Linked DNA regions of Daphnia pulex. The protein of the gene in region 2 interacts with the protein of the main gene of each other region in a pairwise test. Links are inferred from orthologs where the notes say so. Each region holds a gene or a part of one and is shown on either strand. Other genes may lie near its edges.

Region 1 (3,585 bases), on a different chromosome or scaffold from region 2:
GAGGCATTAAATGCGCCGTCGAACTGGATTTGGGCAAATCGTGGAGCGAAAGTCGTTTATTAGCGACAGACATGTTCGGATTCTGTATCGTGCTTTCGCTTTTGGTTGGTGCCATGGGCTTTTTGCCTGAGACCGTTCTACTCCGTTCGGTCTGAAGAGAATTTCTTCGACTCAATCCTTTACGCCCCAACAGGCTTCCACTATTTTTGATTGGAAGTTCCTCCGCTTCATCAGATTGTTCACCATGGGCTTGACCTGAACCGTCACGGTCCATTTCACCAAAATCTTCATGGACTTCGTCTCGGTTTGTAACCTACACAAATAACAAAATCATGAAATCTCTCTGTATGAACGCTACGAGCTCTCTCATTTTCTCACCTTCAAATGGCAACCATCCAGCGATGCTAACATGGTTTTTGCTTGGACGACATCCCCAGTAGTCGATTTAGTGATAATCGACTGTTCAATTTTGAGGCCGTATTTCAAGAGAATCGGTTTAACGACTTCGCCTAGCTGCCTCCTGGGTTGGCCACGGATCATCAGCGATTTGCCCGACTGGAGGAGTAGTAGATGGAAGACGACTCTGGGTTCTAAGCGGATCTCCATGCCACCGACCACAGAAGCGTCCCGTTCCAGCTCGATAGAAGTGGAATGGTGGCTGTCAAACAGCTCGAAAGCATTGAAGCGTAAGCCACGACGCTCCAAAAGTTTGTTGAGAAGTTGCTGAACACTTTGGCCTGGCCGGGCAGCAATAACTGCAGAAGACATGTCGGGAAGAAGGACTTTGACCAGCGGCACAGCACTGGCAGTGTTTTGGATGTGGAAAGCCTTGTCACTGAATTCGGATGCCACCGAATCCTTGGATGCGGCTCTCTTAATGAACAGATCTTCATCGTCCGTCGCATTCTCCTTTTCCTTGTCTGGGCCGCTACTGGTACTACCCTGTCGATTTTTCTTCTTGGACGTCTTTCTATAATCAAATTCAGCGCGATCCTGCAAACAAAATTGAAATAAGAAAAAGTCATACAACGTTGTCTTTCAAAGAAAACCATACAAAACAGTAGGGAACAGACCTTGGATTTTGACCGATCTTTTTTGGGCCAAGGCAACAAGGATCTACGACGTCGTTCACCAGCATCGCTGCCACTCTTTTTCAGTGCCAAATTGCGCAAGCTATCGCTATCACCCTCACCGAAATCATAGTCAATATTCAAATCAGGATCATTAAGGGTCAGCTCCGCAATGGGAGGTTGCTCGTTCTGTTGCATGGCTTGAAGACATTCACGAAAGTATGGTGAACGAAGGAACCTTGGGTAACAGTCGTATTTCATCAAATTGAAGACCTGTTTCTGAGCCTGAAACCAACAAAAACATAAAAAGAACAAAAACACGGAATTGAGTAAAAAGACTTTTACGACATCAAAACAAACATTTTACCTGATCAAACAATTCCAGGCTAGGTTGGCATAGATTATCTTCAGCCTTTTGTCTCGCTTGGGAGTCGACATTAACAGGCTCAGAGGCGGCTGGGCCAAGGTGGCGTTCGAATATCTTTTGGGCTTCGTAAGCGGCCGTCGTGGTATCCTCGGTGGGGAAGAGCCGATGAAACCGTTCGCAAGCGGCCCAAAAATAAATGTTTTCGTGGCTAAACTCCTTCTTTAGAAATCCCTGTGTGCACATGTGTGTTCAGGTCAAAAACGTCACAATGAGCGATCGTTTCAAATCACGAACAAAAAAATCTGAAAAGAAAATAAATAAAAGGTACTCACAGCGAAGGCTCGCAGACCCAGGGGGTCCTCGAGGAGCTTCTCAAATCCCTGCATCCAAACGTGTTGTTGTTGAGGTTGTGAAGTTTGAGGAGGAGGAGGAGGCTGCGGCTGCTGCTGCTGGTCGGGCTGAATGGGTTTCTCGAGCGTCCCAGCCAGAATGGTGCTGTTGGTTGCCGAGGCGACGATAGTGGCCGCTATGGTCGATCCGGGTCTTTCATCTTGGCCGCACCGTTGATCCGACGCCGGCGGCAATACCTTGGGAAGATCGAAAACTCGGGCTATTCTCATGATCGACTCACACTCACGAGAGCAAACAATCGCACTGCGGGTGGCGTTGACGGTGATGAAACGAGACGACGGCCAAAAGATAGAGCGTGCCGTATCGAAATTCATTGGAAAAAACTTTGAAAATCTCCGAAGGAATGGGGTAACTTCACGCCCAGCGGCGACCGCATCCGCCTTTGAGCAGCGGTCGGCCACCAAAAATGGGAAATGACTTTTCCTCCGCTCAGAGCAAACCAAAGAAATCAGAGCGCCATCTATTTCGCACTAGAAAACCATTGGGGTCGGTTGAGTAACGCCCCAGCATCCCTTTCGCTTGCTCCAGTCGAGCCTTAACGATACTCTTCCTGATTAGACACACTTAAACAATTTTGCTTCGGATTCCTATTAAACTCTCTCAACTGTGGCTGGCGTCTCTCTCCCTCCACCCATTCGACTTTTTTTTTGTCGGGACTCTCTAATCAATCAAAAAGTTTTCTCTTTTGTAAAGAAATTCCATATTTTACCTCGTTCTCCTCATCTTCTTCTTCTTCTTCTTCTTCCTCTTCCTCACTGCCATCGTCTCTATATTCCAGTCTTTTGGCTAGTAGTTTCTGTCGCGGCGGGGATCCTGATGAAGACTGGCCTGCTAAACTGTGCCAGCCCACGACAGGATCAAAAGGAGTACTATTCTCCCAATCGATCTTGTCTAAACCGTTGTCAGATCCCAGCTGTTGAGCATGGTGATGGTGGTGATGATGCTGTGGCGGATCGCCCGGCATACGGGCCTGCTGTTGGCAGCTTTTACTTAAATCGTCCAGGCTGCGAGCACGACTGCGTTCTGACGGCGTTCGAGCAGGTCTGCCAGGGCGCAGCAAGAATACACGAAGCCAAAAAATGAAACAAAATGAAATAAAAAAGAAAAAAAAAACATGAAATAAAACAGTTCGAAGGCCGTGAACCCGGTCGAGACCTCTTTGACTTGATTACTAGCAATTTCAACTAATCAACGGCGTTGCCAAGTGCGATGGAGTTATTACCTGTTGGCGGGGTGCGGTAGGCCGCCAGGTCGGCCTTTGAAAACTTGAGGGCTCAACTTTTCCTCCAGCGTCATAGTTGCGCGAACGCTGAGCGATGGATTAACATGTTGGTGCGTCCCCGTATTGCGGTTAAGCAACAGCATGGCCGGCTGCGGTTGTTGTTGCTGCTGCTGCTGTTGTTGGTTCAGGTAACGCTGCATCGAACTTCGTAACCGAGCGGCGTGTTCCAGCTCGCCTGGACTTTTGATGGCCATCATAGGGTCCGGCATGGCACGAACCGTCAGCCGGTCTAAATTGCCATTGAGCGGAAGTGAAATGGGCTGGTGATGCAACATGAGCTGATCTTGCTGATGCCGCAGTTGTAGCTGCACGTCACGGTCGCTGTTCTTGCCATCATCGCGATCACGAAAGATTCCAGAGTCGCTATTACTGCTGCTGCTGCTGCTATTGCTGCTTAAATTATGTTGTTGCTGTTGTTGGTGCTGCTGCTGTTGCTGCTGCTGCAGCAGAGGATT
Region 2 (4,363 bases):
AGTTTTTTTTAAACATTACTTTTTTTTAAATATTATTAGGTTTTTGTTTTAATATTGGGAGAATTTCTTAAAAATTGATGACGATTAAAAAGGAATAGAGGACGAAGGGCTTCATTAAAAAGTTAAAAACCAATATGCGGAAGTGTGGTGGTGACTAACCTAAAAGACTTTGCACCCACACACCAGTCACATAAAAGAAATAATGGATGGGAAAAACCAACCAGCTGATGGCAACGGGCGCTATACTGCTGCCGCTGGATGAGAATTTCCTCAATTTCGAATGTACATACGAACGACTGACATATCCCAAGGGGGGAAACGCGACGACGCGGATCTCAGATTTCGAAAAAAGGATATTTTTCCGATTATCACTAGCCGCTATAGTATATAAAAGCGCCCTCTCTCTCCTTATATTCCTTTGACGTCATCATAGTGTTAAACAAGTACCAAAAGAAGCAACTGCGACGGGATCATCGCATGCTACATGCTGGTGGGATGGCTTTAATCGTTTTCTTCTTTTTTCCTTTTAACCATTTGCAACAAAATGTTAAATCGTAGCGGGTGGTCTAGCAGCCTCACTTCGATATGAATCACGTCTCACACAAGTTGTCGGCGCGTCTGTTTGTTTACAAGAGAGACAGCTCGAAGAGCGCGCATCTGTTTTAAAAAAAAAAAGAAAAAAGACCCAGAAACATGAATATATTCATGCTGCTGAGGAAATGGAGAAAAAGAAATCAGGGCGCGGCCTCGTCGTGTAAAGTTCCAAGAGATATACAAACGAAACGAGGGTTCCGGTTTCCTCATTGAACACACCAAAACCCAACGAAAAACAGGCAGAACACTGAACCGGGTAAAAAAAAGCGCATACCCATAAAAGACCGTGTGCCTGTGATGAAGTATTTCCGGTCGATTTGTGTGCTGTAGAAGCTCCTTTCGTCCCTTTTTCATATATACCCCCCCAGTTGTGAGTACAGCTCATCACCGACACAATGGAGGCTGGCCGTGTCAGGCCAACCGTTGTAGGAAACCGGTTTTTAATGTCCTGTAATTATATGCCAAATAAACAGGAGCGAATTTACAGTCTCAAGACGTTGATTTCATTTTTTTTTTTCTAAATTTATTTTCTGGACGAATACCATTTGTCAAAGCAACGCAGCAGGGAAGCGGCCAAGATCAGGGAATAATCAATCAGCAGTGGGAGCAGTGGGGGAAAATCAAAAATGGAAACGACGCGCTGAACCCCAAGAGTGTGGCGAATTCGTAACGGTTATCGGGCAACCGTCTATTCACACGACCGTGGCGTCATAATAGTGAATAAGAGACTCTATTCAGTCTACTATGCTGTAATGCTCTCTCTCTCTGCTGTGATTTGGGGTCGAGCAAAAAAAATAAAATAAGAAGAGGAGAGGCGGGTTTTGAGTGTTGAAGCTGCGTTGCCAAAAGCGGCAAATAAATATGGCAACGGACGGCAACGTTCGAGTTTTGCCCCGCCTTTGACTGCAGTGCAGCGTAAGTTGAGTTTTTTTACTGTTGGAAAAGAATCAAAAATGTCAAAACTTGCGTTTTGAAACTTGAAATCTTTTCCTTTTGACAAAAGAGACATCGAATATCAAATCGTTGTTCCGATCGCTCTTGTCTCACTTTTCGAATTACCATCGATTTTAGATTCACTCGAGTTCGTGACTTGGATTGAACTGTTGACACGACTCGGTGGCCGTTTGAAAGTTTTAACCAAGCTCCGTTACAATCAGACACCTCTCAAAGTTTAACCGACAATTTTTGGTTTTCTTTTGGATTTGTTTCCATTTTAGTTCACCTTTACAAACAATTAGTGTTAGTGACAGTTATTCCTTTTTGTGGTTTATACAGCATTTTAAAAATCATTTTGCTAGGCTTGGGTTTGATTAACAATTTCCACATTTTGTATTTGCAGGTTCGCTCAAAACAGTTTTCACCATGGGCTGTGCGGTTAGCTCAACAACCGACAAAGAAGCGGTTGAGCGATCCAAGAAGATTGACAAAGATTTAAGGGCTGATGGGGAACGTGCTGCACGAGAAGTCAAACTCCTGTTGCTTGGTGAGTACTTGATTGATTTCTCGCTCATAGTTTTTGTGGCATTCATTAATAATGCTGATTCTGTTCACAGGTGCTGGTGAATCAGGCAAAAGTACAATTGTCAAACAGATGAAAATCATCCATGAAACTGGATATTCCAAAGAAGAATGTGAACAGTATCGACCTGTAGTATACAGCAACACAATACAAAGTCTGATGGCCATCATTCGTGCCATGGGCCAACTCAGAATCAACTTTGCAGACTCCAGTAGAGCCGTGGTGAGTTATCACCTTCAATTTGAATACAGCCCTCAGGCGTTAACTGGTGCTTTTCTAATAGGATGATGCCAGGCTATTTTTCACACTAGCAAGCGCTGCTGATGAAGGAATGCTTACATATGACTTGGCTCAGGTAAGACGATCCATCTTTCCTTGTAAATTGAAAAATCCTAACTTTAATATTCTGTTCGTTAGGTAATGAAACGATTGTGGATGGACGGAGGGGTGCAGCATTGTTTCTCTCGCTCCCGGGAATACCAGTTGAACGATTCAGCTGCCTATTATCTCAACGCCTTAGACCGTATCTCAGCACCCAACTACGTACCTACGCAGCAAGATGTCCTGAGAACAAGAGTGAAAACCACAGGAATCATCGAAACGCATTTTTCATTCAAAGGACTTCGTTTCAAGTACAATCATTCACTTGTTTTCCATCATTCGAAAATCATAGAAACTCATCGAATTCATTTGAATCTACAGGATGTTTGACGTCGGCGGACAGCGATCAGAACGTAAAAAGTGGATTCACTGTTTTGAAGGAGTGACAGCCATCATCTTTTGCGTGGCGTTATCAGGTACGAAAAGATTCAGGCTTAATTTCCCCTTTTCTGTGAGCTTTATTGTTGATACTTTGCTCCAGGTTACGATCTGGTGTTAGCCGAAGATGAAGAGATGAATCGCATGATCGAGTCAATGAAGCTGTTTGACTCGATATGCAACAACAAGTGGTTTGTGGAGACCTCAATCATCCTGTTCCTCAACAAGAAGGATCTCTTTGAGGAGAAAATTACCAAATCATCTCTCACCATCTGCTTTCCCGAATACCCAGGTAAGTTTAATTGACTTAAGTCCTTTTTAATTTTCTTCAGAAACTAATTTGTGTGACGTTTGCGTTCAAGGATCCAACACTTACGAGGAGGGAGCGGCCTACATTCAAATGAAGTTTGAGAGTCTAAACAAGCGTCGTGACCAGAAAGAGATTTACACGCACTTTACGTGCGCCACCGACACCAGCAACATCCAATTTGTCTTTGATGCGGTCACGGATGTTGTGATTAAGAACAATTTGAAAGACTGCGGTCTTTTCTAATTCGATTCTGGGATGCCAGTGCACACCATCCCATCCCAGCTCTCTCTCTTAATCTTAAACTCTCCCCTCTTATTTTTCTCTCTCTTTATTATTGATTTTGTCTTGGATACCACAAACTTAGTCTGAAAATATCATTTTGTAAACTGTACGTTCATCGTCGGCCCGTAAAAGAAAGAAAAAGAAAGAAAGAAACGCAACACAAATTCGCTGTAAGCATCCCTCTCGTTGCGCTGGCCATCACGCACATAATTGCTTCCTCCCTTTATTCGATCGACTCGAAATTTAATCTGTTGATATTTCTTTTGTTTTGCTCGAGCAATGATATTGACACTAATATCCCTTTTGAAGAAAAAGAAAGAAAACAAAAAACGAAGCTCAACCACTCTTTGATTGCCATATTAAAACAAAAAGAGCACAAAACATTTCGAATTCTCTTACATTTTTTTCATACAAATTCTCCTGCCGTTCGGACGCGTTGAATAACCAAAATCCTCCCCATCGCACAGCCATCCTCCCTCCTCCCCCCCCCCCGTTTAACGTTAAATTGTTTGATCGTAACGCCATCAGAGAAAACAAAAGACTCTTTGCGTGACACGCCATCCTTCCTCTTTTATCTGCTTTTCCATGCAGACCATCTATTTTTTTTACTTGTTAATCTATGGCTTAACATTCCTTCACATGCCTGGGCCCTTAACATTTTTTTTTTCTTTTTTTCATTCTGTCCAGGTCTTTCCAGCTCTATTTTTGCCAACGACAGTCCTTCAAACAATTTCCGCTTCACATGCTCAACTACTTTTTGACTCGTTTTTTTTTTTTTCATTATTATTATTCCTATCCAAGATATTTGATACTCGGTCGTTGATTGATCGGTGGATAATTATTTTAGAAAATTGCTTTTTTGTCTAGATAATGATCGTCCTCTCACTTAACCAGCCTGG

The links.
Region 1: the proteins of guanine nucleotide-binding protein G(i) subunit alpha (region 2) and regulator of G-protein signaling 12-like interact in a two-hybrid assay, tested with the Drosophila melanogaster proteins (2 studies listed by BioGRID). The link is inferred for Daphnia pulex from reciprocal best matches to the Drosophila melanogaster genes Galphai and loco.

What each region holds. Positions count from the first base shown.
Region 1 is NC_060017.1:5,048,848-5,052,432, forward strand, and holds part of regulator of G-protein signaling 12-like, read right to left. Parts: coding exon 3,071-3,585; intron 2,892-3,070; coding exon 2,558-2,891; intron 2,025-2,557; coding exon 1,770-2,024; intron 1,669-1,769; coding exon 1,438-1,668; intron 1,356-1,437; coding exon 1,074-1,355; intron 994-1,073; coding exon 379-993; intron 314-378; coding exon 1-313. UniProt on the Drosophila melanogaster protein: Acts as a regulator of G protein signaling (RGS).
Region 2 is NC_060020.1:3,522,449-3,526,811, reverse strand, and holds the start of guanine nucleotide-binding protein G(i) subunit alpha, read left to right. Parts: upstream 1-1,386; 5' UTR 1,387-1,509; exon of another isoform or gene 1,510-1,833; intron 1,834-1,933; 5' UTR 1,934-1,956; coding exon 1,957-2,077; intron 2,078-2,147; coding exon 2,148-2,335; intron 2,336-2,396; coding exon 2,397-2,468; intron 2,469-2,530; coding exon 2,531-2,745; intron 2,746-2,815; coding exon 2,816-2,910; intron 2,911-2,975; coding exon 2,976-3,164; intron 3,165-3,234; coding exon 3,235-3,425; 3' UTR 3,426-4,363. UniProt on the Drosophila melanogaster protein: Guanine nucleotide-binding proteins (G proteins) are involved as modulators or transducers in various transmembrane signaling systems.